4 linked regions of the Diceros bicornis minor genome follow. The protein of the gene in region 1 interacts with the protein of each later gene in a biochemical or structural test. Links are inferred from orthologs where the notes say so. Each region holds a gene or a part of one and is shown in the gene's direction. Other genes may lie near its edges.

The links.
Region 2: of the proteins of NPM1 (region 1) and CDK2, one has a biochemical effect on the other in vitro, tested with the Homo sapiens proteins (2 studies listed by BioGRID). The link is inferred for Diceros bicornis minor from reciprocal best matches to the Homo sapiens genes NPM1 and CDK2.
Region 3: the proteins of NPM1 (region 1) and HMGA2 interact in far-western blotting, tested with the Homo sapiens proteins (2 studies listed by BioGRID). The link is inferred for Diceros bicornis minor from reciprocal best matches to the Homo sapiens genes NPM1 and HMGA2.
Region 4: the proteins of NPM1 (region 1) and GADD45A form a complex in vitro, tested with the Homo sapiens proteins (2 studies listed by BioGRID). The link is inferred for Diceros bicornis minor from reciprocal best matches to the Homo sapiens genes NPM1 and GADD45A.

Annotation. Positions count from the first base shown.
Region 1 is NC_080740.1:85,422,412-85,429,608, forward strand, and holds the start of NPM1 (nucleophosmin), read left to right. Parts: upstream 1-4,194; 5' UTR 4,195-4,282; coding exon 4,283-4,340; intron 4,341-6,510; coding exon 6,511-6,590; intron 6,591-7,193; coding exon 7,194-7,197. UniProt on the Homo sapiens protein: Involved in diverse cellular processes such as ribosome biogenesis, centrosome duplication, protein chaperoning, histone assembly, cell proliferation, and regulation of tumor suppressors p53/TP53 and ARF.
Region 2 is NC_080756.1:12,774,669-12,781,917, reverse strand, and holds the start of CDK2 (cyclin-dependent kinase 2), read left to right. Parts: upstream 1-4,244; 5' UTR 4,245-4,434; coding exon 4,435-4,550; intron 4,551-5,298; coding exon 5,299-5,376; intron 5,377-5,484; coding exon 5,485-5,605; intron 5,606-6,260; coding exon 6,261-6,431; intron 6,432-6,929; coding exon 6,930-7,031; intron 7,032-7,249. Other genes in the region: melanocyte protein PMEL, read right to left, coding at 744-890, 1,046-1,156, 3,368-3,443. UniProt on the Homo sapiens protein: Serine/threonine-protein kinase involved in the control of the cell cycle; essential for meiosis, but dispensable for mitosis. Phosphorylates CABLES1, CTNNB1, CDK2AP2, ERCC6, NBN, USP37, p53/TP53, NPM1, CDK7, RB1, BRCA2, MYC, NPAT, EZH2.
Region 3 is NC_080756.1:4,950,643-4,958,135, reverse strand, and holds the start of HMGA2 (high mobility group protein HMGI-C), read left to right. Parts: upstream 1-4,480; 5' UTR 4,481-5,179; coding exon 5,180-5,290; intron 5,291-7,493.
Region 4 is NC_080743.1:6,451,098-6,458,902, forward strand, and holds GADD45A (growth arrest and DNA damage-inducible protein GADD45 alpha), read left to right. Parts: upstream 1-4,790; 5' UTR 4,791-4,913; coding exon 4,914-4,957; intron 4,958-5,466; coding exon 5,467-5,568; intron 5,569-5,786; coding exon 5,787-6,024; intron 6,025-7,112; coding exon 7,113-7,226; 3' UTR 7,227-7,793; downstream 7,794-7,805. UniProt on the Homo sapiens protein: In T-cells, functions as a regulator of p38 MAPKs by inhibiting p88 phosphorylation and activity.

The DNA of each region.
Region 1 (7,197 bases):
GCTGTATGTGGGATGCGGCCTCAGCATGGCCAGAGAAGCGGTGCATCGGTGCGTGCCTGGGATCCGAACCCGGGCCGCCAGCAGCGGAGCGCGCGCACTTAACCACTAAGCCACGGGGCCGGCCCTCAAATTTTAATTTTAATTAATTTAAATTTAAGTAGCCAAATATAGTTAGTGGCAACCACATTTGACAGAGCAGCTGTTGATCTACTAACTCATAGAAAACACAAGGGATAAGGAAACATGTTAAATGACAACATGTCTCAGTGTATAATGTGTAGACCTTGTTTGGATATTCACACAAACCAACTACAAGAGACATTTGGGGAAATTTGAACTGGATAATTCATAATATTAGGACTTATTTAAAACTTTGATTTGTATTATAATGGTATTATGTTTAGGCTTTAAAAATTGTTATCTTTTAAAGATACATACTAAGTATTTATAGATGAAAATATACATATCTAGGATTTTCTTTAAATGATCCAGCAGAGGGGGAGTGGGAAGGATGGTGGGAAGGTATATATGAAACAAGATTAGCTATATGTTGATAATTGTTGAAGCTGGGTGATGGGTATATTGGTGTTCATCATAATATTCTATTTCTGTGCGTGTTTGAAGATTTCCATCACAGAATGTGTTAACAAATGAAGAAATAAATAAAACCTGGAAATAGTATATATGTTCATCTTATGCAATATAATGCAACTCCTAAAAAGAATGCAGTGAGCTTCCATATATAATATCATGGAAAGGTAACTAAGCCACATGAAATGAAGAAGCGAAGTTGCAGAAAATTGCTATGGCCTGAAGGTATTCCCCCCAGATTCATATGTTGAAATCCTAACCCCCAATGGTGATGGTATTAGGAGGTGGGGTCTTTGGGAGGTGATTAGTTCACGAAGGTGGAGTCCTCATGAATGGGATTAGTGCTCTTATAAAAGAGACCCCACAGAGATCCCTAGCCCCCTCCACCACCTGAGGATACAGGGAGAAGTCTACCACCTGGAAGAGAGTCCTCACCTGACCACACGGGCGCCCTGATCTTGGACTTCCAGCCTCCAGAACTGTGAGAAATAAATTTGTTGTTTATGAGCTACCAGTCTGTGGTATTTTGTTATAGCAGCCTAATGGACTAAGACAACAATATATAAAGGATGAGCCTATTTATGTAAACAACAAAAAGTTGCATTTTTATGTACATATATTTGTAAGTAAATACCTGCCCTTTTACTGTACAAGTCCATTTCTTAGAAATACATATTACAAAACTACTTTAAGACATCCATAAGGATATATGTACAAAGATACTGTATTAGTCTGCTTGGGTTGCCATAAAAAAATACTGCAGACTGGGTAGCTTAAACAACAGAAATTTGTCTTACACTTTTGGAGGCCTGGAAATCCAGGATGAAGGTGCCAGCTAATCCAATTCCCAGTAAGTGCTTTCTTCTGGCTTGCAGACAGCTGCCTTCTCACTGTGGCCTCACATAGAGGAAAGAGAGCGAGCTCTTGTGTCTCTTCCTCTTATAAGGAGGACACAAGTCCTATCAGATTAGGGCTGATCCTATGACCTCATTTAACCATTTAACCTTTATCACTCCCTCACAGGCTCTAACTCCAAATATAGTCACATTGAAGATTAGGGCTTCAACGTATGAATTTTGGGGGGACACAAACATTCAGTCCATAACATTTACTAAAGCATTATTTCTTATAGCAAAACTATGAAAACAATTTTAGCGTCTATCTATGGAGGAATGGATATTAAATCATAACATTTCCATATTATGTACTAGTTTGGACAAATGTCCAAAATATATTTTTGAATATGCAAAAAAGGTGAAAAATATATGAATCACACACATTTAAAAAAAATACAAAAGAAAAAAACCCCAACTATGTAATCTCTCTCTCCCTATATATATAGTCTGGAAGGATAATCACACAACTATTAACAGTGATTACTCCTAGGGAATAGAAACAGAGATATGGAAAGAGAGGCATTTTACTTTTTCACGTGTATAGACCTAAATAACTTTAATTTATTAAAAAGATAGTGAGCATTCATTACATTTGTAAATCTGAAAAATGCAATAAGTGATTTTTTTAACTGCTTGATTCCATGATATCATATCTAGACTAGGTGCCTGAAATATTAAAACAACAAATGTATTTATAAAACATGAGCTATAGCTCCCATATGGTTCAGGATCTGTACAGAGCTAAATTTGAATAATCATGGTCGAGAATCCAGAAAGAAATTACAAAGTAGTTCCAACTTTTACTTGCATGGGCTCAAAGAACATTAACCCCTTCTCCTACACTGTCCTGTAGCTCCTCTTGAGACTTTCCCATTCTAAATCCCCAGATTCTTCTCAGCCACAGTCCTCTCCTCCCTTTTATCAGCCTTTCTCATTCCATTACATAAATATCCTTCCAAGTCTCAGTTTTTTCTCTAGCAATTGTTCATCTTCTCCAACTCAAAAGATCCAAGAACCATGTTGGTGAAGGCTCTTCTTCACTTAGGGGTGAGGAAAAAGGTGGGGAACAGCTTGGCCTCATTCACATACTGGTCACACTGATTTCTCCAAATTTAGGATTTTGATTTTGTTAACTAATAATTGGTTCATGTGTTCTGTAGTTTATCTTCCCAACTGGATTGTCTTTGGGGAAAAAGTGGTAGGGGCATCACTGGCACTATTTTTACTCTTCACAGTACTTCTTATTGTCTGATCTGTTGACATAAAAGATTGTTAGAGGGGATCCTCAAAACTCACAGTGCCCTGGAGCTGCGGAGGTCCTCAGTTTGTCAAGGTGTAGCTGGTTTAGAATGCTAATTTCCAGGCTCACTCCCCAAGAGTCTAATTAAGGTTGCATTTCTTACAAGTTAGACGCTTTCTTTACAGCTCAGAACATTCTTAGGAATGTTCAAGATTGAGTAGTGCGCTGTCTCAGAGACTGGTCCCTACATAACCCTCCCAGCTCTTTTAGAAGGATGTTAGCACGGGACTCAGAGCTCGAGAACCATCTCATCACCCATTTGGGTACCTTACTTCACCTCTCTCACCCGTTTCCTTGTCTGCAAAGTGGGGATAGTCACACCGGCCTCACGGGACCTGATGTGGGGACTTATTGCAGGTACACAGCCCTCTTTTTTGTGTGAGGAAAATCAGCCCTGTGCTAACATCCATGCCAATCTTCCTCTTTTTTGCTGAGGAAGACTGGCCCTGCTCTAACATCCGTGCCCATCTTCCTCCACTTTATGTGGGAAGACGCCACAGCATGGCCTGACAAGCGGTGCATCCGTGGGCGCCTGGGGTTCCGGACTGGGGCCGCCAGCAGCGGAGCGCACACACTTAACCGCTATGCCACAGGCTTGCTCCGATACACAGCCCTTGTCTTTAGGGAGAAATCACCCAGCCCTGGTTCTTGCGGGGCTTCTATGGAAGAGGCTGACTCAGTTCTCTTTTGGCCCCAAAATGACATAAAGATGAGAGATTTCAACTTCGGAGATGTTTCCTCAGAAAGTACAGAGCTGTAAAAACAGAGTTGGGTAAGTGCGGCCAGCAGCTGCATCTTTTCTCGCCAACAAAGAATAATTCGTAGTCCACTCTTGTCTCTGGCACCTGAAGCTTTTAACTTGGGGGATACAACTCTGAGCCCGGGCCTTTAGGCAAGTCAAAAATCCTGAAGTGGTTATGCCTGTTTGGAGGTCTGCGAGGCACGAAGGGATGGAGAAAGGTGAAGCGAGCTGCTTTCTGGGTCACTTCTAACTGGCTAGCCCCCCACACCTAACACAGCTAAAACTTGCCGTCGCCATTTTGCAGGGTGGGCTGCGCAGGCTCTTGGCGCGACGCCCGCGCGCCTGGGCTGGAGAGGACGTGGAAGGCTTGGAGGCGGGGGAGCGCGCGCTACCAGGGGAAAGCACGCGTGCGCACGGGCGGCGGCGGCGGCGGAGGGGTGGGGCCGGGGTACGAGTGCGCGTGCTCGGTGGGAGCCCGCGAAGTACCTGGAGGAGGTGGGGGGCGAGGTAGAAGGGAGTAATGTTGAAGAGCGCTTGCGCGGGAAGGCGACGGTCCGGGGAGGGGGGCTCCCGAGCACGCGCGCAGAGACGGGACTTGGTCAGCTCTCGCGAGAGCTTCAAGATGCTATATATGTGCGCAGGGAGCCCGCGTCCTTTCCCTGGTGTGATTCCGTCCTGCGCGGCTGTTCTGTGCAACAGTGGTCGTTTGTCTCCGTCCGCCTTCTCTCCCACCGAAGTGCGTGCCACCACCCCATGGAAGATTCGATGGACATGGACATGAGCCCCCTGAGGCCCCAGAACTATCTTTTCGGTAAGTGCTGGGGGGGCTGGAGCGAGGCCGAGCAGGCCTAGTGGCTTTGAGGTGGGGGGGGGGGGCGGGAATTCTGAGGCCTGGGCCGGTGGAGAAAGGCAGGCAGGCTGGAGGCCTGGGGAGTGGGGCGCGAGCTGCCGGGGCCCTGCCGCCTGAGAGGTGGGGGAAGCGGGCTGCCGGGGCTCTGCAGCCTGAGGGATGGGGAGCCAGGACAGGAGAGCCGGCGCGCCAAGGGTGGGAAGGAGGGGCGGCCTGAAGCCTGGGGCGTGAGCGGTCCGAGGCCCAGGGCCTTGGGGAAGGTGGAGCCGACAGGCTGAGGGTTCGGCGTTGCCTAGGGCGCACAGTCGAGCCCGGAGCGTGATTTCTTTTTAGGGGTGTGTGAGTTCGCAGGCTTCCGATTCCGCGCCGGTGTCTTCGGTGCTGGGCCTCGGCTTGGTGCAGGAGGTTGTGTGGGCTCGTCATGTGAGCATGGGCCTCCTTTCCGGAGGAGAGGATACTTCCAGCCTGGCGTTGTCCTCCGGCCTTGAGGCCTCAGGGTCAGGAGCTCTAGGGCCGACACTCGGCCCGGGTGCGTCGGCTGGTTACCGGGGGAGGGGAGGCCCGGCCGGGCGTGAGGAGGCCGCAACCGCTGGGAGCACGTGGTTGCCACGTGGTTGGGGCAAGGTGGGGGTGTGGGCGCTGCATCCGGGGCTCACTGATGTCCTGTCACCCCCGAGCCTGGGGTCCTGGGTTTTAGTTGAGGCTGTTGGGCGGGAAATGTTAGGTGAAGTGGCTGGTAGCGCCAGGATTCTGGAGGTCTTTGTTCATTGCTTAACATTTGCGTACTATGATGGTAGTTCTCATTTCTAGAGCCATTTTTCTGTTTTACCGCGATGGATGGAGTAGCCACTTTGCAGATGACGATACTGATGCTCAGAGAACTAAAGTGATTTAAAGAATGTTGCACTTGTAGGTAAATAGAGACTAGATCTAAACCAAGACCCTTGTCTCCAGAGCTGGTGCGTTATAAAGGATTGGTTTTTTGTTTTTTTGGAGAGAGGCCCATGGAGACAGTTTTCTGTGTGGCATCGAGCAAACAGTTTTGTTTTTTTTTTTTTTAAAGATGAGAAATGTGCCGAGAGTTCAGTTAGGTCGATAAGACCTGATACTGTACTGTACTTGTAATTCTATACCAAGGTTTTGAGATCTCTCCCCCTCCTCAGCACACAGTGACATACTAAGGAGAGGCCTGGTTTGGCTTTCAGTCGCAGTGAATTTGGTTGTTGAAGCCATTTCTTTGTGTCAGTCAGGCTTGGAAGTAAGCGCAAATCCTGCCTCAAATTTATTTTGTTTCTTTATATACCATGCTGAGATTTGTTAATTGAGCGATAACATTTAAACATATGCACCAGTAACTGTTAGATGGCAATTAAATGGAATCATTTAAAGTTTCATTCTGATGGTATTTAAAACAATTTTCTTACTTGTGGAGTGGGAGTAGGTAACATGCACTATACATTAAGGCTTTTATTCTAGCCATCTTGAAGAGCTGAGGTTTCTGATCAATTTACACCCAAATATTTTTGTGTTAACGTTTCTATTGGAAATATCTTTAGGGTATATCTATTCTTGCTTTAAACATAATTTTTGAATGTGATTTAATGTACATCATTTCAGTTACTTGAAAGATGGAATGCTGGCCCCTTAACAAGTTTTAGTTCTTTTACATTTGTAGTTTTTCTGTTGTAAATACAAACTGTTCATGTAGGCATTTGTGTAACCATTCTCATTTCTAAATTTGCTGCTTTTCTTGGGAGTTGAGTTAGGTAATTTCAGCTTTTTTAAACAGTGGGATTTTACCAACATCGTACAATTTGGTTTCAGATACTTGTTTCAGTTACAGATTTACTAAATCTTTGAGCTTATTTCTATCTGAGAATGGTAATAGTGTAGTTGAGAATCAAATAGTATAATGGGAAAGTGGAATTTATGAAGCCCTAAGCCCTGTGTGGATGTTATATGATGTTTATACATGTTTGTGTTCAAGAGATCCAGAAAGAGATACTTCTGCCTTGCCTTCTGGTAGCCAGAATAGTGAAAAACTAGTTCACAAATACTTTTTTAGTTACCCACACTGAAGTTTCATTGTTATTTTTTTCTCTGTTATAGTTGCTTTTTTCTTCATTTACAGGTTGTGAACTAAAGGCTGACAAAGATTATCACTTTAAGGTGGATAATGATGAAAATGAGCACCAGTTATCTTTAAGAACGGTACTTAAACTTTTCAAAATAAACTACTTAACCTTTGTCCATTTCAGTCTCTTAGTTCCTCCTCGTGTGGCTTAATACTTAAGTATTTTTTATAACTGAGTGTTGTATATACCTGATTATATACCTCTGATAGAAAACCTGGCATTTTCACCACTCATTTGGTAATTATGTAAAGTCCAGTCACACTGTTGGTTCAGCTTTCCATATTTGTATACTTTGATGCCTCAGTTCCACTATAAAGCCCTTTAGGGTAGTGATAAATCTTTTGTGCCCTCCCACAGAGACTAGCCTCTGTTAGTGTCTAGACTGCTCAACTTGTAGTAGGTGGTCAATAAATGTTAGGTGATCCATACTGTGGATAGGTGGTGACATATACAACTGTGTCATCAAATGCATTTTTATGCATTTGTTCAGATTTACTGAATATGAGAAATTGATGGGCAGGGTCACATAAAAGTTGAAGACAACATTGTGCTCAAATTAGTTTTCCATCAGTGGTAATAATGAAAAGTTTATAGTTTTGTTTTTTAAAAAACTCATTTTGGGGGGGAATTGTAAAATAGTGGCAACTTAAAAGTTGAAGTACTATTTTTCTGTTCACAGGTCA
Region 2 (7,249 bases), on another chromosome or scaffold:
TATATCAAAATGTTTAGAGTGATTTGCTCTAGCTAGTGGGATAAAAATAAAAACAGCACCACGGGGCCGACCCAGTGGCGCAAGCGGTTAAGTGCGCACGCTCCACTGCGGCGGCCCGGGGTTCGCTGATTCGGACGGATCCCGGGCGCGCACTGACGCACTGCTTGGCCGTGTGGCGGCGTCCCATATAAAGTGGAGGAAGATGGGCACAGATGTTAGCCCAGGGCCAGTCTTCCTCGGCAAAAAAGAGGAGGATTGGCAGATGTTAGCACAGGGCTGATCTCCTCACTAAAAATAAAAATAACAGCCCCAGCTAATATTTATTGAGCCTTTACTGTAGGCTGTGGAAGGTGTATGCTAAATTCTTTACAGATTATCACATTTTAATCCTTAAAACAACCTTTCAAGTTATCATCCCCATTCTAGATAAGGAAATGGAAGCATAAGAGAATTAAGTAACTTGCCCAGGATCACATGCTAGTAGCAACTTTAAATCAAAGTCTGTCCCACTTCTAGGTCCACTGGGTCTTCTGTCCCCCATTTTGGAGACTATAATTTTTTCTTCTTTTTGCTTTCTCTGTGTTTTCTAATTTTTCTACAATGAATATGTATTACATGTATAATTTGTAAAAAAAAAAAAAAAAAAAAAAAAGTAGAGGGGAAGGGAGCATTCCCTGAGCTCATTGGGGATACCAGGGAATCCGAGCCCTAGGAATGAGGGCCTGGAGTAGAAAGGTACTCACCATTGATGATGGTGTTGTTGGCCCAGACGACCTGCCCATCTGGCAGCACCTTTTGGCTTTCAGGGAAGTGCAGGGCAATAGAGAAAGAGGCATTTGCCCCAACCAGTGTAGGCCCATCGTTACTGACCTTCAAGGACACCTGGCCACCTGGGAAGGGCAGCTGCATTAGCTGGGACTCCTTGGTTTCCACTCCCCATGTACCTTTTCCCTTCCTATCATCCCAAGCTACATCCAACCCAGTTCTTGCTCCTCTCCTCACCCCGTTCCCACCATACCCTCCCCAGAAATTGTCAAGTTCCCACCTCTCCAGCAGTCAGGCCTCTGAATTTCTGTCCACTCTGGATACAGCTGCCTGTTCCAGGCTTTAGTTCTGAGCTGTCTTGAGACACCAAGCCAGTCCCGGCCTCTGGGTCCTAAAAGGAAGGTACCATGAGGGCCCTAGGATCCTCACTCAGTCCCTTCTCAGGGGATAACACCGTCCCATGTGGCCCCACTCATTCTCACATTCAAATTGCATTTTAATTTACTGAATACCCACCAGGTACCAGGCACTATGCTAGGTACAAAGGACTTAAGAAATGAACAAGACATGGCCCTAATGGGATTCAAGGTAAAGTATAGGAAATAGACATATACATAAATTACTATAATTCAAGGCACTGTTTAATATGAACCATAACAGACATGCACAAAGTGCATGAAAATGACAAACTAAACAGACTAGTTCTACTCTGGCAGATTGGGAGAGATGTCAGTGAGGAGTTGGCCTGTGGGATAAGGCCCAGCATGAGCAGATGCATGGAGGCAGGGAAGCACCTGGCATGATAGGAGACTACCAGCAATGTGGTTGATGCACACTGTGAGAGATGAGGCCAAGAAGATGGGGGCTTTCAGTGCCAGGTGAAGGAGTTTGGCCTTTATCCTGTAGGCAAGGCCACCTCAGAAGATTTTGTTTGTTTGTTTTATTGAGATATAATTCACATACCATAAAATTCACCCTTCAGAAGCTTTTGAATATGATCAGATGTGTTTTAGAAAGATCACTGGCAAGCAGTGAGGAGGATGGATCAGAGGCAGGCAAAGGTTGCGGGTGGGGACAGAGCAGATAAAATTATTGTAACTGACCAAGAGAGAAGTCTGAGAAAAAAAGGGATATGATGGATCTCCATATGCCTCACCCAGATCCAATGACTGTCAACAATTTTGCCACATTTGTCTTATCTCTCTTTTGTTAATGTTGTTTGTTTGTTTTTTGGCTAAAGTATTTTTTTAAAAATCCCAGACATCTTGTTATTTTAACCCTACAAATGCAGCATGTATCTGTAGGGTTAAACAATTTTTTTTAAACATGAATATTTTCTTGAATAAGAACAATGTCAATTTATACTAGACGAAATTATCAAACTCAGTCAATATAAAATTTCATGAATATCCAAAAATGTCTTCTTATGATTTTAAAAATTGGGACCCAAAAAGTAAGCACAATCTTTTAAGAGCCTCAGGTGGACAAGTATGAACAGAATGTTTCCAGAATACATTAAGGAACATAGTAAAAGAATAAGACTTGAAACTGCAGCATGAATGAGGGAAGTCAGATCAAGGAGAACTTCCTAGAAGTCTGTGTGACTAGGGATCTAGAGATAGAAAATGGGGACTGGGGCCGGCCCCGTGGCTTGGCGGTTAAGTGCGGGCGCTCTGCTGCTGGCGGCCCGGGGTTCGGATCCCGGGCGCGCACAGACGCGCCGCTTCTCTGGCCATGCTGAGGCCGCGTCCCACATACAGCAACTGGAAGGATGTGCAACTATGACGTACAACTATCTACTGGGGCTTTGGGGGAAAAAATAAATAAAATTATTAAAACAAAAAAAAGAAAATGGGGACTGGGATATGAGGTATATATTTCAGCACAGCAGAAACTGTCCTCACTCCATTTCTAATGTGTACTGGAAACCTAGTTGATTCCACTGGGGGAGGATCTGGAAGCATGTCATTGAGCATCCCACCCTATCATAAGATGCCCTATTCTTTCTCCACTCCCAACCCTCCCTTCTCAGAGCAGCACGGGACATTCCAGACCCTCTCACCACCCCTGCCCCCATCCCTTGCTCCTGTCACGAGGCTTCAATCCCCCAAAGCCCTTTCATGTGATGCTCAGCTGAGACCCTCTGCCCGTCTCTTCCAGCCCCAGAACAAAAGCCTGGGCTGTGTTCGCCCATCTCCATCCCAAAGAGGGGCGATGGGGCCCCCTTACCCTTCTTATCCAATACCACATTCTCTTATTCCTCACTTTACCCTATCCCAAGTGTTTGAGACATTGCCTAAAAGAGTCTCCCACTCATTTCAGCCCTTTGGAGCCCCTGCTCCATCTCACTGAGCAGGGGGCCTCAGAATTAGGGCCGTGAAGATCCACTATCCTCTTTCCCTTCCAAGCAGATGGGATTATTTTCAGGTCCAGTCCCAAATCTCCGTGTGGGGAGGGAGCTCAGGTGCCCATGTCCTCACTAAATCAAATGGATGGGAGAAGACAGAAGTATTGCTGGTAACTCCTATTAGGAGGGGGAAAACCAGAGCAGATGCGCAATCTCAAATTCATACTTGTTCATCTCCACACACCCCACACTCACCTTCTGTGGCCCCCACAGCCAGAAGAGCACCCATCACAGCCATGTGGAGAAGGCATTTTCTCAGCACCAGATCCATCCTCTTCTTCCTTCCAGCAACCAAAGGTGCTGGTGGGCTGGGACAAGCCCCTGTATAAGAAAGGGGTGCTTATTTGCATAGCCCTTCCTCCTCTCCCTCCAGGGAAGGTCTGGGAGGGGCGGGAGGACCGGAGAACGGCAGAACTGACAAGGGATGCTGGTCCCTGGACATCCCACTACTCAATGACAGTTTCTGGGTCACTTTCATCTGGACACACTCCATCCTCCCGGGAAAGAACAGCTACGTAACACATACCGAACACACACAGTTCATCATGGGAGAGTGAATCAGTCTGTTGTTTGAGTCCAACAGGAACCTCTCAAAAAGACAAGAGATCCTGCATCCAAAAACAGAAAGACAGTCTCAGGGTAGGCTGAGAGGCGGAGGCAACGACTCCTCCGAGGCCCAGGAAACCCTTACAATGAGATTCCCAGCTTCCTGCTTTTCAAAGGAGGCTCCCTGGGCCGGGGGGAATTTAATCTTAGGTCGATACACATTTCCCCTAAGGGTGGCGAACCCTGCGAGTTAAAGATCAGGAAGTCCCTACAGACTGAGGGCACGGGTCGGAAACTCGAGCCCAAATCAGGTACTTGGAAAAAGGTGTTCAGCCTCGTCACCGACGCAGAAGCTTGTTCTAACGCCCCTCAGAACCAAACTTGTGCGGGAAGGTCATTTGCGGCGAGGGGCGCTGGGCTCGCCCCGCCCGCTCTGACGTTGACCAATGGGAAGGCCCGGGGGCGGAGCCAGGGAAACGCGGGAAGGAGGGGCGGGGCGTCTGGTGGCGGTAGAGAACTGGGGGGGAGGCGGCAACATTGTTTTAAGTTGGACAAATTGACAAGAGCGAGAGATACACTGCGTTCCATCCCGACCTGGGGTCGCGGTGCTGGGCCCTGTTTCCCCCTCTTTGGCCCCCCGAGAGCCGGGGCCCGCTTTCTGCAGGGTTCCCAGGCCCCCGCTCCAGGGCCGGGCTGACCCGGCTCGCTAGCGCTTCATGGAGAACTTCCAAAAAGTGGAAAAGATCGGAGAGGGCACGTACGGAGTTGTGTACAAAGCCAAAAACAAGTTGACGGGAGAAGTGGTGGCGCTTAAAAAAATCCGCCTGGACACGTGAGTGGCCTCTGTACCCGGGACTCCTAACTCCGGAGCTCCTTGAGTGTCCCTACCCCCACCCCCACCCCCACAGGCGGGTAGCCGTCCAGGGACCGGAAGGTAGCAGGGAGGGACTTCTTTTGAGGTGGAGAGGTGGACTGGAGGACAGTAGAAAGTTTCCCTGTGGAGAATATAGCGTAGTGCACAATCCATGGGGAACTTCCTCCCCAAAGCCGGGTGATACCCCCCTAAATGTGCAGTCAGAAAGACTCAGGAAGACTAAGGAGGCCCCTGAGATGGGGTCCAGGACTCCTGGTGGAGTTGGGTTTTGTAGGAACTGGTGAAAAGCACCTTTCTGAAGGAAGAGCCCTCCTCACTGTCCCAACCCCACCCTCATCTTAGAATTCTCTCCCTCTTTCAAAAGAATGACAGTTGAACCTCACTGGCCCCTCCAGGGAGGCTGGGTGCTGCTAGTCCCATTTTTTTTCTGTTACCTTCTCTCTGCTTCACCTTCACCAGGAGGCTTTACTTACCTACCCCTGGGAAAAGAAGAAATAATGACCTTAATATGTCTAAAAGCCACTCCCTGACCACCCATGAATTAACTCCTACAGCACTCTTTCTCTTCTCTCACTTTCCTAGGGGATGCTGGGGGTGGTGTCACCTTGTGGAGGGGGGGTGGGAGGTGGGAGAGGGAGTGACTGGGCTGGAGGAAAAAGAATATTTGTAACCACATTCCCATCTCTACTTTCCCAACCTCTCCAAGTGAGACGGAGGGTGTACCCAGTACTGCCATCCGGGAGATCTCTCTGCTTAAGGAGCTTAACCACCCTAATATTGTCAAGTAAGTATGTATTTGGGAGGTACTCTGATAGTAAAGGAGGATACCTTCTGTCTGTGAAGTCTGGGCATTTCTCTCCCTCACCTCCATTCCTGGACCTCTCTTCCCTAGGCTGCTGGATGTCATCCACACAGAAAACAAACTCTACCTGGTTTTTGAGTTTCTACACCAGGATCTCAAGAAATTCATGGATGCCTCTGCTCTCACGGGCATTCCTCTTCCCCTCATCAAGGTAATCCTTCTCCTCAACTCCTCCTCATCATGGGCATCTTGGAGGGGACTGAAGGCAGGCAATTCAGACTGAGTGATGATTTGTAATGTGGCTTCCTCCCCAGCCCTCATTCCCCTACAGACAAATACCTACCCCTTTCTTTTGTGGCTCTTTCACTGCTCATTATGCTTATTAACCCCAGGGCTGGGCAGGAGAATCAGAGAAGTGGAAACTCTAGTAAGTCAACTTAGCAGCTCAGGTGGAAGGTCAGATGAAACTCAGATAAATGGGACTTGAGGGCACTTGGTAGATTCCTCTAAAAAGCCCTTCCACCTGTTTGGTGGAAGAAATAGCCAGCAGCTCTCTACTGTCTGTTTTAGGCCTGTGTTCTTTACTCCTGGAGCTACTTTCAATCTGTCAACAAATGTTTATTCAATGCACATTTATTGAACACCTTCAATGTGCTAGGCACAGCATATGGAAAAGAGATGCAAAACTGAATAAGACCTGGTCCTTACCCCTCACTGGGCTGACAATCCAGTGGGAGAAATAGCTTGTAAACATGTAATTATGATCCAACATAGTAAAGGCTTTAGTAGAGCTTTGGAGGCACAGAGCAGACCCTAATCTTCTCACTGTGGTTGAAAAACACAGTCCTCTCTGTCTCCCTTGTCAGAGCTATCTGTTCCAGCTGCTCCAGGGCCTAGCTTTCTGCCATTCTCACCGGGTCCTGCACCGAGACCTCAAACCTCAGAATCTGCTTATCAATGCGGAGGGGGCCATCAAGCTAGCAGACTTCGGACTAGCCAGAGCCTTTGGAGTGCCTGTTCGTACTTATACTCATGAGGTGAGTCTCTCTCTGCATTTCTTCTCTGAACTTCCTGGGAGGTGTTAACAAAGACATTCACAAAGTTACTAAAAATACCTGGCAGCAGTTTCTCTCTCAGTAGATGGAAAGTATCTCTGACACCCCAGGAGGTCTTAGAGTATGCACATAGTTCATACCTTCATACCGTAGGGCTAACTGGCCTTTGATAGATACCAAGCCAGGAGAGCTGGATGGCACACCATTAAAATTATGACGACTTGTCTCAAGTTTTCCAGAAAGGTCACAAATCGGGGCTTCAGAAAATACGGTTCCCAGAGCCATGGGCAAGGCTAACTCTGGGCTAAGAAGTGGTGTGTAATCATTTCACTTAGGCGAAGTCAGAAGGAGGGGAAGGATGGAGGGAAGGAAGCTGCTTGTTAAGAGCCTGAGAGTTAGCAGAGTAGTGCTGAGGAACTGAGACGTGGGAATCTCCATGCCCCATACACCATCCCTCCCCTTCCCACTCTTATCCCCCAGGTGGTGACCCTGTGGTACCGAGCACCTGAAATCCTTTTGGGCTGCAAATACTACTCCACAGCTGTGGACATCTGGAGCCTGGGCTGCATCTTTGCTGAGATGGTACGAAGCCATGCCCTAGTTCCACCCAGCCCACTCCTCCCCACGTTTAAGAACAACAGAACTGTTTCTTGGCCCAGACTCATGGGCCTATTATCACAGGGTTCTTTCTCTAGAGTAGCACCACGCGGGGTGGTGGGGAAGGATAGGATTGTTGTCCCTGATGTCAACCACATGTTAGGATATCCTCAAACAGCCTTAGCATCCAGTTTACTTCTCTT
Region 3 (7,493 bases), on another chromosome or scaffold:
CATCTAAGATAACCTAATCATGGGAGTAAAAGTCACCATATTACAGTCTCAGGGATTATGCAAGGCAACTACACCGGGGGCCAAGAAATCATAGGGGTCATTTTATCCTTCCGCCTACCACACCTCCCATCCCAAATCTGATTTAAAAGCCCATGTTCCTCCTGCTATCCACAGCTGTGGGATAGTGTACCTCAGGGCTACAGTACAGTGTCATAGATGAGAGATGGAAATGAAATTGTTCTACTTCTGTTCTGCTTCCATGGCTTTTGTCAAAAAGAATGTTCTGTGAATCCCAGCACATATTAGGTACTCAATAAATATTTGTTGAATGAACTATGGATTGGATAAAGGAGAATAAATATTTGTAATGGTAAATGAAAGGCTTAACATAATAGGTACATAGATTTTAAATGAGCACGTAGCTGTTTCAAAAGAGATTCTCTCCAGTTCTGAATGAATTACATTCCTAAGTCCTGAGAGAATAATTGGTGAGATTACTGCAAAACCAACTCAATATATGTTTGTTGAATGAATGAGTAGATGAATTCATTTTGTTTGGTGTTCTCCGTCCTGTCCACAATACCCTCCCCCACCACTACAATGTTAACTTGGCAGCACATATTCTTCCCTGGTGATACTGTAGGGAAACTCTTAGAGATTCTCTTTTCTACATTTCATTAAATACTTAGCATATTTTAAAAGACCCAATATCTAAAACTGAGTTTGAGCAGTGCAAATGAGTTCATGTTAAAACACTGGAAATGTTTTTCAGAAATATGTGTTTACCTTGTACTATAGTGAGCTTCTATGTACAATGCATATATGTGTGTCTGTGTATGTATATATGCTATGCGTTCTGTTCAATAAATATTAGTTGTATTTTTTTTCTGTGACCCTATATAGATTCACTTCCAAAATATCTGGTTATAATAAATCCCTGCTTAATACATATAAAATACATCCCTGATTAATTCAATCGGTTATAATCTGAGAAAATCCTTAAATTATTCTTTAATTTATGAATATATTAAAGTATAAATATAATGTGATAAAGTGCAACGTGAGAACCTCAATTTCTTCATCACACAGGCATCTTCCTTCAGTCAAAAGAATGTTGAAGCTATTTTAATATATGTAATGCTTTTCTCATCCTGGGTACACTTGTAAAGTAGTAACTTGTTAAGAGTTACTTTGTCATAGCCAGAAATTAGTAAGTACCAAAAGTCTATTATGAACTGAACACTACCTACACACAACTGGTGCAAAAAAGAGGCGTTAGAAATACTACCTGTCTCCATGGAATCTACATACAATTTACATATAAACAGGCACAATTAGAGAACAAGATATTATACGTGTAAGTCTATTAGAAGTGGAAGAATGCTCAGAGATTATGCTGATCTTTTTAGAAATGAGGACCCTGAGACACAGAGAGGAGAAACGACTCACCAAGCACTGCAGACCTGGTTCAGTGGAGTGGGAAGGGAACCCAGGTCTCATAACTAAGTCAGTGGCATTGAAACAGGTTACACTGCAACCCACAGTCAGAAATAGACCTTACATACAGATAGTTCACCGATCTACGGTGGCGTCGATTATTAAACACATTAGTATCATATATACTATGATACTAAACAGGCTAAAGCAGAGAAGATACTGTCTAGTATGTGCTAACACAGTGCTAAGACACTCTAAGATACACCCCAATTTCCAAATATATGAAAAGATGGAAAAAAAGCATTTGTATATAATTTTTACACGTGTGCTATATAACTAAAACAGAACTTTTACATGTTATATTATCTACTGTATTCTATTTTTTTTTTAAATGATGTTATGGGTCCACTGAATTAATTTTACCAGCCATTAATGAGCTGACCTGATCCAAACACGACATCATGTATCACAGACGATTAGAAACCTTGTTTACGTATACAACCAAGATGCTAATTGTTCAGTTTGAAAGTAGGTGCAGAAGAAGAAAAGAAATAGTTTCATATGGACAAAAACCACCTGGAAAGTTTTCAAATTAGAAATAAGAGTTTAGCCTTGAGTGGATGGGTAAAATATGGTAAGATAAAGAAGAGAAAGTGAACAACTGAGCAACTTAAACAGGGAGACAAAAACCCTCAAATGTAAATGTGAAAAATATCCACTCTTTAAAACATAACCATTGAACTTAATAAAAATAGATGACACCCTTTTTAAAAGTTTCAAGTAATTTCAAGCATGAAGGTAGATTTTAAGGCCTCCTCTAAAAATATACAGAAAATATAACCTGAAAAAAATTAAATGTAGCTTCCAGAAATGAAAATATATAAAATTGTTTTAGACAAAACTTGATGCAATATTTGTTTCATATCCTTCTGTTATAAATTCAAAAGGGGTCAAATAGTCTGATAGCAAAGAGGCAGGGGCCTGAAAACAAGTGGCAGGACATTCTCCCACCCCTCATTTTGCTGTGCTTTTCTTAAAGTCAACGACTAATGCAAAAATAAAATTTTGGAATTCCCTCCTTGCCGGCCTCTATGCACACGAAAAATACATCTGAGGATATTACGCATGTATCCTATAAAACCGGCTGGCTGAAAGGCTAGGTGATTTCTCTTACATTCATCCTCAGAATTATCTCTAACCCTTGTAAAAAGCAAGCAAACAACAATCAAGAAGCCCGTTTTGCATGCGTGTGTGAAATGTGCACAGCCCAGTGCGAATGTGATCACATTAAAAAATGTGCACACTTGGCAGTTAGGAAATGTCACAGCAAACTTTAGCACGGGAAATTTCAATCCCTTTGATGAAGATACCATCTTTCAGCCAAGCCCTGGCAGAAAATCTTTGGTTCCTGTTAGACCCCTCCCTCCCCAGTCAGCTGCTGGGCTCCATCCGGAGGGTTGGGGGCTCTCCCTCTCCATCACAGCTAAGCGTTCCCAGACCCGGGAGAAACCCTGGGTTTCCGCAGGGCACTCAATGTGCAGCGAAGTGTCCCAGCTCGGCAAAAGGCAGCTGGCAATGGATTTAAAATGGCAACGCGGACCAATCAGCGCCGCCGCCCCGGAGCAGACATTTACGCGCGCCTCCTCCACCAGCAGGGCTGCTTAGGGCTGTAAAGGAGGCGTTTTTATTCCACGGTGGTCTGTATTTTCGGGAAAAAAAAAAAATTCTTCTTCGAGTGAAAGTTTTTATTCTGGAATTAGTCCAAAATAATTTTGGGTGTGATGTGTGAAAATCTGAACCTAATTTTTTCAGTTTTTTTGTTATTCAAGGATGAAAAGAGGTACATTTTAAAATGTACTCCACCTTTTTAAAACGGCCTGTGGTCATGATGGTGTTCCCATAACTCAGAAACAGCCCAAGCTATAAAATTAGGACTTGGCAGAAAGGGAGTTTCTAGCGAGAAGGTTAAATCGAGGTAAACTGAAGGGCGAGTTGGACAGTTGGCGCAGTTGCGGTGTTAGGCAGCTACCAGGTCCCCGCGTGGGGCAACCGCTTTACCCTGTGAGCGTTGGAAAGCGGGTGCATAGCGCCAGCCGGGGGCGGGGGGGGAGGCTTCGCGTCGCCTCTAGTCTTTCCCGGAGGAAAATGCTCAATGGAGAAGCTGGCGCGCCCCGTGTGCATGTGTGTGCATTGTTTGCACGTGTGCCTATGTCTGCGAATGTGCATGTAAGTGAGCGCGTGTTGGTTTAAGTGTGTGTTTATGCATGCATGTGCCTGTGCGAGTGTGCACGTGTATCTGCGTGCACGTGCGTGCGTGTGTGTCCGCGTGCAAGTGCGCGGGCCGGGTCGTGCGATCTGTGATGAGGGCATTCCGAGGCAGAGCAGGGCTGCCGGCGGCCGGCTCCTACTCCTCTTCCGTTCCTTCCCACTCACAGGGAGCTAGAACTCCGCCGCGCGTGCAGCTAGACGCTTCCTGCAGAGTGTTGGCTCCGCATCGCGGAGGTGCAGGTAAGGGCCAAGCCCCGAAACGCGGCTCTGAGACAGTCACATTCCCGTGCCTTCCTAGGACAACCGCCCAGGGGCGACCTCGGGCGGCGGGCGGGGCGAGGCCGGCGGCGAGCCGGGCCGGGATCCCCGGCCTGTCCCTTTAACCCCGCCGCCGGGCGGGAGCACGTGAGCGGGGCTCCGGGTGGCACCCGGGCGCCGCCGCCGCCAAGGCAGTTGTATTTCGAACGCTGCCTCTGGCCCGCGGCCAGGCGCCTTGGCTCGGCGATCCGCCTGGCCTCCCTCCTCCTCATACTTTTCCTCCTGCGCAGCCCCCTCCCCTTTATCCGCCCACGATTAGAGGTGGGCACTCCCCCCCCCGGCGCCCCCTCCCCAAGCGCGCGCGCACACACACACACACACACACACACACACACACACTCATCCCGCTTGAATCCTGGGGCAGGAACTCAGAAAACTTCCAGCCCCGGCAGCGCGCGCTTGGTGCAGGACGCAGGAGCGAGCAGCCCGTCCCCCTCCGGCTCTCCGGTGCCGCTGCCGCCCGCTCCCGCCACTCGAAGAGGCGCGGTGCCACCCACTGCTCCGTCCCTCGCCCGCGCTCAGTGCCCGACCCGATCCCGGCCGGCTCTCCCCATCCTGCCTCTGCTTCCCGACGGCCCAAGGCGCTATTTGCTTTCTCTCTCTTTCTCTTTCTTGCTCTGCGAGCGCGGAGAGGGGGGGAAGAGGAGGAGGAATTCTTTCCCCGCCTAACATTTCAAGGGACACAATTCACTCCAAGTCTCTTCCCTTTCCAAGCCTCTTCCGAAGTGCTCCCGGTGACCGCAACTCCTGATCCCAAACCGAGGGGGAGCCTCTCCAGCGTCCGACCCTCTTTTTCTTCGCCTTCGCTTTCCTGCTCCTCTCGCTACCTCCACCTCCACTGCCACCTCCACCTCCGGCACCCACCCACCGCCGCCGCCGCCACCAGCAGCGCCTCCTTCTCTCCTCCTCCTCCTCCCTCTGCTCTCTTTTGGCAGCCGCTGGACGTCCGGTGTTGATGGTGGCAGCGGCGGCAGCCTAAGCAGCAGCAGCCCTCGCAGCACGCCCGCTCTCGCTCCCCCTGCCTCGGTCTCCAGCCCTATCACCCCGTCTCCCGAGAGGTACCGGGCGGATTCGGGGCGGCCGAGGCCAAGCGGCTGCAGCGGCGGTAGCGGCGGCGGCGGCAGCGGTAGCGGCGGCGGCGGCGGCGGGAGGCAGGATGAGCGCACGCGGTGAGGGCGCCGGGCAGCCGTCCACTTCAGCCCAGGGACAACCTGCCGCCCCGGCGCCTCAGAAGAGAGGACGCGGCCGACCCAGGAAGCAGCAGCAAGTCAGTACGCGGGCGGGGTGGGGGCAGCCGCCCACCTCCGCGCCCTCCGCGCAGGCCCGGCCACGCGTGGCCACCCGAGCGCGGGAGCCCAGTCGCCGCGGCCGCCGCGCGCCGCCCGCCCGCCTCCTGCCGGCCGGAGTGGGGGGGGGGGCCCGGCGTCCCCGGCGCGAGTGCGCGGCGGAGCCCCGGGGCGCCCGCGCCGCTGCGGCCGGGAGGTGGGGAGCCGCGGCGCGCGGCGGGGCGGAGGCGGGAGGTGGGGTCGGGCGCAGCGCGTCCTCGGACTTTCGCTATTGTGCACGGCCCGCAGTGGCGCGCGGTCTCCCGGCGACTGCAGGCGGCCCGGCGCTTTCCGAGCTGCTGCTGCAATTGCCCCGGGGGAAGGAGGTGCCGGGGGCAGCGGTGCTCGGGCGGTTCAGGGTTGGAGGGGCTGAGTCCTGGGGGCCGGAGGCTCTTTCTCCCGCCTACCCGAGCTGCTCGCTGGCCGCGGACTGGCGCGCCGCAGCCGCCCCCTTGGCTCCCTCCCCAAGTTCTCGGTGGCCCGAGACTCGCGCCCTCCCGACAAAGAGCTCGTGGGCCCGCCTGGTCCTCTTAGAGCTCTTTAAATGCGGCGCGGCGGCCAGTCTGCGGGCCGCCGCCGCCGCCGAGGTGTCCCGGGGAAGGGGCTGCAGGAGACCTGGGGTCCCCACGGGACGGGATTAACTCGTTTGGCCAAGAGCGCGGTGGAAAGTAGTGTCCGAGAGGGTGCACGGTAGCTAGGGTCACTTCCTCACCAGCTGCCCCGTACTCTTTTTGCCCCAGGATCCCGCGCCTTGGAACTGCAGACATTCAATGTGCTTCTCCAGGGCGAGTGGCTGGGGGTTGGGAGGGGACGATCGAGGGGCGCCCGGGACCCCGCGGAGTGGAGGGTTTTGTCTGCGGATGCAACCAATTAAGCGTGCAGCCGGCGCTTGCAGAGCTGTGCGCAGCGCCCAGGGCAGGGGTTTTGTTCGCCGCGGTTTCCAAGCCTCGGCGGGCAGGGCTGGAGCGGGACGTGTCTATTGAGAACATTTAAACTCCGCTTCCGCGGGCTTTAAAACTTCTTCATTCCTTAGCCTTAAAGCGCTTCCTTCATGGCAAAGAGGCCGACTAGGAAATAATCGTAGAGTCCCAAAGCCGCCCGAGAGCAAGGTGGGGAAATCGGACAATGTTTGCTTGCCGGTGCGTTTTAGAAAAACGGAGAGGGTTGTACCTTTTTGAAATCATCAAAGGAAACAAGCCAATCTAGAGGCCCCTGCGTTTTCCCGCTCTGCCCCAGCGACACTTTCTTTATACCGCGTTCCGATCCTGTTTTACACCTCCCAGGAAGTCTCTGCCCTTCCCCCCGCCCTGCTTCCCACCCGCCACCCGGCTCTCTCTAATTCTGCTAATTGCCCCCCACCTCCAAAAAATCATCCAGAAGAAATTGCAGCGGGGTCTGGGGGTGATTGGAGGTTTTACCTTTGAGTTAAGGCAGAGTTCACAAAGAAAGAAAAATGCGTCTCCGACGTGTTTGCTTCGGATGTGCCCATTGGCGCTAGTGGTCCCACAGAAGCTTGCAGGGAAACTTCCCCAGATTTTCTCAATAGGATGCGAATTCTCATTGAAGACTTTCATGCGTTTTAAGTTAATTAGTCTCATTTAATCACCGAATCTGAATGAAATGTAAATTGATGATTCACCGAATAAATATTTAGGATCTGGAATATTAATCATCGCTTTCTCTTAGCCACTTGAGTATTTACTACTTGGCATAGAAGCCATTTAAAGTTTTGCTAAACCTATTGATAGTTTCAATTTCTCCTTCCCAGACACTTCCAATCCTTCTCACTTTTTTCCCCTTTTTGTTTCCTCTAATCCACCTCCATGAGTTTTCTCAAAAGAAAGTTTTGGAGAAAAACCTTATTTTTATCAAAAGATATTTAAATTTAGACCGGAGACCATGCCTACATTTCCAAAAGGAAGTGGAGAATTGAAGCAATTATCTAGATAATTCAAGCAAAACCTCCCACAACAGATTTACCATAATTATTTGGGAATTTTAGGGGGAATGGAGTTATTTTGAGTTGAAGAACACGGATAATTGCTCCAATATTTCACTCAATGTGTTGATTGAGTCAGAATTGACCTATAATGCAGATATATAGAGATGATTAAAAACTATCTTTTCAATATGGAATATTGTTGA
Region 4 (7,805 bases), on another chromosome or scaffold:
GATGAGTAAGCCTGAGGTTCAGAAGAGGTGACTGACCAGATTGGAAGTATATTCGAGAGTCATCAGCATATAAGTATTTAGGCCATGAGACTGGATGAGGTCACCAAGAGAGTGAGTTTAGATAGAGAAAGAAGAAGTCCAAGGACTGAGCTGTTAAGAGTTGAGGAAGAAAACACTGCAATGAAGTAGATGGGTGAAAAGAATCAGCTCTTCTATTTCAGAGATAGAAAATTCATAAACCTGTTCAAGGTACCAGAACAAACTACCAATGGCCAATTACCAACTCAGACCACCTACCTTCTTCACCAGTGATTAGCCCACCAAACAGAGACATTCACAGAGAGAACATCCCTACTACAATGGAAGCCTTAACTCAGTGGGAAGGTGGGGAAATGGGGTGAGGGGTCCTTGAAAAATGTCTCTTTATTTGACACCTTGCCTGGCTGGCCCTGCATGGCTGGTGAAATGTGAACACCTGGTGGGAATACAAGGTGGTTAGCCTAAAGCTCAAAGCAACCCCATGACTCGACTTCCATGAATATTCATAGCTGAAGATAATTTTCATCGGGTAAAGATTTATTGAACACATGACAAGATGGCATTAAGAGGATTGTACTAGGTTTTGATGCTATGAAACAAATTACCACAAACAGTGGTTTAAATTAACACTCATTTATTATCTCACAGTTTCTGCAGGTCAGAAGTCCAGGCATGGCTTAGCTAGGTTCTCTTGTCAGGGGCTCAGAAGGCTAAAATCAGTGTTTCCCAGGCTACATTCTCATCTAAAGGCTTGACTAGGAAAAGATCTATTTCTAAGCTCCCTCAGGTTGTTGGCAAAATTCATTTCCTTGCAGCTGTAGAATATGGAAGTTCACTTCTTCAAAGCCAGCAATGAAGAAAGAGAGTCTCTGATGCTTCCAATATCTCTTCAGAGAAGGCCTAGGCCCTCTTCTAAAGGGCTCACCTGATTAGATCAGGCCCACCTAGCATAATCTCCCTTTTGTTTAACTCAAACTCAACTGATTAGGGACCGTAATTACATCTGCAAAATCCTTTCACCTTTGCCATAGAATGTAATATAATTGTGGGTGTGATAGCCCAACATCATTGCCATATTCTACTCGTTAGAAACAAGGGATGGGTTCCGCCCACACTCGAGGGAAGAGGGTTATACAGAGCTTAACATCAGAGGTTAGAGATCATTGAGCCCATCTTACAATTTGCCTACCACAGTGATGGTCCAAGAAACTAAACATTTATGTTAAATTCAAATGCAAGTATTGATCCTAAGAAATGACAAATTTTTAGGTGACAGTAAATCTTGTCTGAATGGTCTTCTCTGGGGAAGAAATGAGGGAAATTCAGAGCCTGCCTTTAGAAACTAACTTCACCAGACTTATGCAAAAAATACATAAGGAACCTTATAATTTTTAACAATAAAATAGAATACAGAGTTCTAGGTAGTAGATACATCTGTTATAGTCTAATTGATCTCCTTTAATGTGAACAATGATCTAATACCAAAATAATAAGCATCATATTTCTTTCAGATGTTAAAGGATTGACTAATTTTTGAAAAAAAGAAAAGTTATCATTCTATACTATAGAACAAGTAGTAGGAACATATGCATACTAAAAGCGAAGAAAATATCAAAAAGACTCTTAATATGCAAAGTAAGTAGATGGCTAAAATAATTCAACAATTTTTGAGGACATATTTCCATCTGATTTCCAAATATAACCATTTGGCATCCTTACAAATATTACTACAAGGTCATTCTAGTCCTGTGCAGCTGAACTACTTGGAGCCACCTGGGGTGGTTTTAAAAATGATTTCACAGGGCCACCCCCGTGGCTTAGCGGTTAAGTGTGTGCGCTCCGCTGCTGGAGGCCCGGGTTCAGATCCCAGGCGCGAACAGACACACCGCTTCTCCGGCAATGCTGAGGCTGTGTCCCACATACAGCAACTAGAAGGATGTGCAACTATGACGCACAACTATCTACTGGGGCTTTGGGGGGAAAAAATTAAAAAAAAAATGATTTCACATATTGGAGTTATTTTTAAAAATACATATATGTGTGTGTGTTCTATACTAATCTAGGGAAATTCCTCTGGTTTATCATTGGATACCAACTTCCCACTGGCCTGAGGAGCATTTATGAAATATATCATCTATGACCATCCTAATATATAACTGCAATCTAACTGGAGCTAAATGCAGCTTCTACTTGCAGCCATGAGGACCAGCTTCGAAGATCATCACTGATGAAACATTCTAGGTAGACTCAGCAATGAGGCAAAATGATGTAACATATCTGAGTCAGAAAATATGACAAATGAATATTTTTGAATACTGGAAGGCTAGGCTTATCTCAGAGAGCAACCGACAACACTGGAACAAACCACTTTCCCATGAAGCCACAGACAGCACGCAGGGTAGCTTCTGAGTGAGGGTCTAGGCCTGTATTAAGAAATAGCTCTTTTATACCACATTTTTACTGCACAGCATTGTCTTGGGTGAGGTATTATTAGGGCTGTGGTTCATTTGAATTGGCATAAACAATACACGGGTTCTACTGTCCTACAGTTTCCGTTCAGATGACTAAAGTCATGGGACTTCCAGCATAGCTAGCTGATGACAGTGCATGCTATTTTGTCCCAAAATCCAGTCCAAGCATGGACATACCAATTAAATGGTAAGCTCTTTAAAGGCAAAGGACCAGGAATTGTACAGTTCTTGGTACATAGTAGATCAAAGAAGTTTTTTCGAACTAAAGATAAATGTGGAATATCTTAGAGAGAATTCATGCAATGCACAGGACTGCAGGATTCTGAGATCTTGTTCAACTCAATAAACATTGACTGTACTTCTCCTAAATGCAGAAGTTGGGCTGGGTGCCAAGAACACCACGGTGATGAAGTCACAGTCCCTGCTGTCAAGAAACTCACATGCATCCCTAATTCTTTTTCAGTTTGCTGTGATCACACTTTCTTCCAAAGAACCTCTAAGAAACGCCTAGTGGATAGAACCTTGGAGTTCCATGGAACACGGTTCAATAGTCTCCAAATGATGACTCAGGCCAGAGTGTATAATTCAGGGTTTGTTCGAAAAACTTCAGAACCCACCTGAATTTCAATTTTAAGGAATTCTTTAACAAAGACACTACACATTACGATTTAAGGTATAGAAATGAAATACACAAGCACCCTTGGGTAAATTATGCATTGGCCACCACCATTCCAAAACATTGTCCCTTGCTGACAAGGCAGTTAGGGATTAAGTGCAAAAAGGCAGCTCAAGTAAATGAGCCAGAAAACTGAACTCTCACTTTTCTTTTCCACTAAATTAAGATCAAGAGAGCTGGAGAATATTTTGTCTAGAATGATACAAACATACGGGTGCAAAAACTCCCATGTACCTTTGCAAAAAATGACTTCTGTGACCTTTAACTATACAGTGACCTTAATAATGCAAGCGTTGTTTTGAATGGAAGCATATGGGGGGAATTTTCACCTCTTCTGGTGACTTGAGTAGGTTTAAGACATGTTTTTGCACTTATTGTATAAACTCATAAAACAAAGGGAAGAACTTGCAACGTATTCGGCGAAAGTCTACACATTAAAGTTTGCTTTTCAAAAATGTGTAACTACTGCTTGCTTTCCACCCACAGGTCGCCATTATCTCAAAGGTGAAATTTTAGCATATGACTAAAAGGTCCTATGGCTGCTGCTTCATGATTCAGCACTGGCCATCAATAATTCACTGTGAGATCACAGGCTCTCTGGGGAGGGCAGTGACATACTTGCCTCATGAAAGGAAGCTTAGGGCATATTGAGAGCATTCTGAATTTAGACTCGTGGCTTATGTGGGTGTCAGACATTTGTCTCTTAGCTGGTGCCGGTTCAGAAGGATCCTCCTTTGGGGAAGGCTCTCTGAGAAAGGTGAGCTTGGGTTGAAGGCCAGGATACACACGTGTGGTAACCAGCTCCCGGTGAACATGGTTTCCCCGAGTTACCCTGGGCAGGTGGGAAGCCCTTCTGCTTTCTGCGGAAAGGATTCCAACTTGGTTCCCTGCCACCACCCAAGACAAATGTGTTGATTTTTCTTTTTTGAGCTTCCAACCCTTGCAACCTTCCAAAAATAAATCAAACCAGCCATCAGGGCACCGAAATAATACTACTACTAATAAGCAGCTTTGCCTGGACTTACACAAACAACACTTCTGAGGTAACTTTGCTCCGGAGGTCTGGACACACTCTTTTTATGTAAACTGCTTACTAATAATTACTGGACTTGGGTGCATTAACCCCGAAAACAGATTTTAATAGCAACCCCTAAAAACAAAAGACATGAAACGACAATAAAAAAAATGTGCACCAACTGAGAAAAACACTTGGCAGCCTGTTCCAGCCCAAGCTGAAGACAACCCGCTTTCCCTCCCCCCGTGCAAAGACCGCCTCTCCTTTGGGCCCCGCCCACGGAATAAGAGTCCGCTCGGGACCCCGCCCCCGCCCCGCCCCCGCCCCTGGCTCGCCTTCCGCGTGGCTCCTCCCCCTTCCGCTCCTCTCAGCCGCGGTCCGGGAGCTCGGGTCAAATTGTCGGAACATGCTGATTTGCATAGCCCAATGTCTGCGCGTATGCAAATGAGGCGGGCGTTGGTTGGCCGGGGGTTGGCAGGATAACTCCGGCGAGCGGCGCCTTTGTCCTCCAGTGGCTGTGAGGCAGCAGCCGGGTGGCAGTCGCGGCTCGCGGCGGGGCGAGTGGCCGGGGGCGGGCGGGAGGGCTGACGGCGCGGCGGCGGGGCGCTGGAGCGGCCGGGGCCGGAGTGCAGACAGCCGGCGCCCGCGCGCGCTCGGTGGCAGGAGCAGCCCGCACGCCGCGCTCTCTCTGGGGGGAACCTGCAGTTGCAATATGACTCTGGAGGAATTCGCGGCTGGCGAGCAGAAGACCGAAAGGTGAGTGGGCCGACTGGCCCCGGGGGGACCTCGGGGGGCCTCGGGGGAGTGCCGCCGGGCTCCGGGAGGTTTGCGTGGGGCGAGCGGTGAAAAGTTTGCGGAGCGCACCTCCCTCCCGCCTTTCTCACTCGGGGACCCTCCCAGGGGCGCCCGCGGACGGAAGGAGCGTGCCCCCCAACCCGGCCGACCCCTCGGGGCTTTGCAGAGGGCACAAGCGACCGTCCCTGCGGTGCAGCTGCTGCGGCGGGCAGCCTGTGCCTGCGCCCAGCCCGGGACTGGCAGTGCCCTCGGGGAGGGTGGCGGGTGACACTCTCGGGGCTTCTCCCCGGACCCCGGCCTCTGGGCGTGCGAGGGGTCGTGGGGGTGCCGGACCGGGGCGCCCGGGTTTGCAGAAAGCTGAGGTGCGCGGGGGCACGCGCTCGGGGGGAAGGTCGCGGTGCGGGTCGAGGGGCGGCGACGGCCCGAGGGCACCCGGGCTGACGGGACCCCTTGCTCTTGCCGGCGTGTAGGATGGATAAGGTGGGGGATGCCCTCGAGGAAGTGCTCAGCAAAGCCCTGAGTCAGCGCACCATCACGGTCGGGGTGTACGAGGCGGCCAAGCTGCTCAACGTGTAAGTGGGGCCCTCGCGTGTCCCCCGTGGCCCCCTGCGCGCCCCAGCCCGGGAGGCGCCCTCGCGGGGCGCCCCTCGCCTGCACGCCGCTGTCCATCCGCGCGGCGGCTGCCTGCCCCGGCGAGCGAGCGGGCCGGGCGCGACCCCCGGGACCCGGGCGGTGCGGGCGCGCGCGGGGGTCGCGCCTCGGCGCTCACCCGCACCGCCCCTGCCCGCAGCGACCCGGATAACGTGGTGCTGTGCCTGCTGGCGGCGGACGAGGACGACGACAGGGACGTGGCCCTGCAGATCCACTTCACCCTGATCCAGGCCTTCTGCTGCGAGAACGACATCAACATTCTGCGCGTCAGCAACCCGGGCCGGCTGGCCGAGCTCCTGCTCCTGGAGCCCGACGCGGGGCCCGCGGCCGGCGAGGGCGCCGCGCAGCCCCCGGACCTGCACTGCGTGCTGGTGACGGTGAGGGCCAGGGCGCGCGCCGCCGCGTGCGAGGCCTGGGAGGAAGTGGGCCGGGGCGAGAGTCGCCTGACTGCGGGTCGGGCAGGGGTGGGGGTCACGAGCGGGGCCGCCTTTGCCCCATTAAAGAGAGCGGCTGGACTTTCAGCCGAGATGTGCTAGTTTCATCATCGGGATTTTCTCCCGTACGGAACATGTCTGAGCACGTTGGAGGCTGCCAGCCGCGGAAGAGATCCTTGTGAGTCAGCAGAGTCAGCCCAACTACTCCCTACCTACATCTGCACTACCTCCCGTGACTAATTCCTTTAGCAGGGCGGATTAGATAAAGCCACATAAATTCCTGGCTCACCCTCATTAAGGAGTCAGCTTCATTCTCTGCCAGTCAAAGCTAAAAATAGAAACGGTGTAGGAGACAGACCTTATTAATTCCCTAGAAATACATTAAGAGGATAGAGTGGAAATTTTTCCTTTGCAATCTTGCATTTTTTTAATGGAGCTTTTTTCCTAATTAAAAACCTTGGGTGGGTAAATAACTTGTGTTTTCAGAGGTAAATGAGATTTTACATCATCTTTTGTTTTTACATTTTACTGTTTTTTGGCTGGTCTAGCTAAGTGGCAGCCTAATTATTTTGCTACTCCTGAAGAATATGACTCCACCTTTTGGGAGGATAACAGGTGGTGACTGGGTGGTGACTGCTGTGCAGCTCTGTCTCATTGTATGAACGGCAGGGAAATGTTTCTCAAAGTCATTTTACTCAGGTCTCTGCCATAGTACAAGTTTGTTAGCAGGAACCTGTGAATGATACCCTCATGCAAAACTGAATAAATAGTATCATGCAAACATATGTAGATGGCTCAGTGGGTTGCGTGCTTCAGACTTTGTAGAGTATAGGTTAGGGGAGAATTACCTTTAATGATTTTGCAGGAAACCTGACTACCTGGAAGAAATGTTATTTTTTATGGCTGTAACTGGTCTTCATGTCATGCAAAATATAGAATGTTGAAGTGTCTTCTGCTCAAAAGTAGTGTAATTATTAGCAAATGCTGATTTTTTTTTAATAGTCAATTTATTTTTCGAAATTTGTTCCCAGAATCCACATTCATCCCAATGGAAGGATCCCGCCTTAAGTCAACTTATTTGTTTTTGCCGGGAAAGTCGCTACATGGATCAGTGGGTCCCAGTGATTAATCTCCCTGAGCGGTGATGGCATCTGAATGAAAATAACTGAACCAAATTGCACTGAAGTTTTGAAATACCTTTGTAGTTACTCAAGCAGTTACTCCCCACACTGATGCAAGGATTACAGGAACTGATGTCAAGGGGCTGAGCGAGTTCAACTACACGTTCTGGGGGCCCGGAGGTAGATGACTTTGCAGATGGAAAGAGGTGAAAATGGAGAAGGAAGCTGTGTTGAAACAGCAATACAAGTCACAAGGAACAAAAGAGACAACCACGCAGGAAGGAAAACAAACTATGTATTAATTTAGGATGGTTGAGTTACAGTTAAATAAACCAAATACGCTTTGTTCAAGTTCAAATGTGCAGCAGTAGTTTGGGTATTTTTGGTTTGTATGCCCTCAAGTAAAAGAAAAGCAGAAAGGGTTAATCATATTTTAAAACCATATTTTATTGTATTTTGATGAGATGTTAAATTCTCAAAGTTTTATTATAAATTGCACTAAGTTATTTTATGACATGAAAGGTTATTTATGCTATAAATTTTTTGAAACACAATACCTACAATAAAATGGTATGGAATAATTGCATCATTTCTTAATGTGTG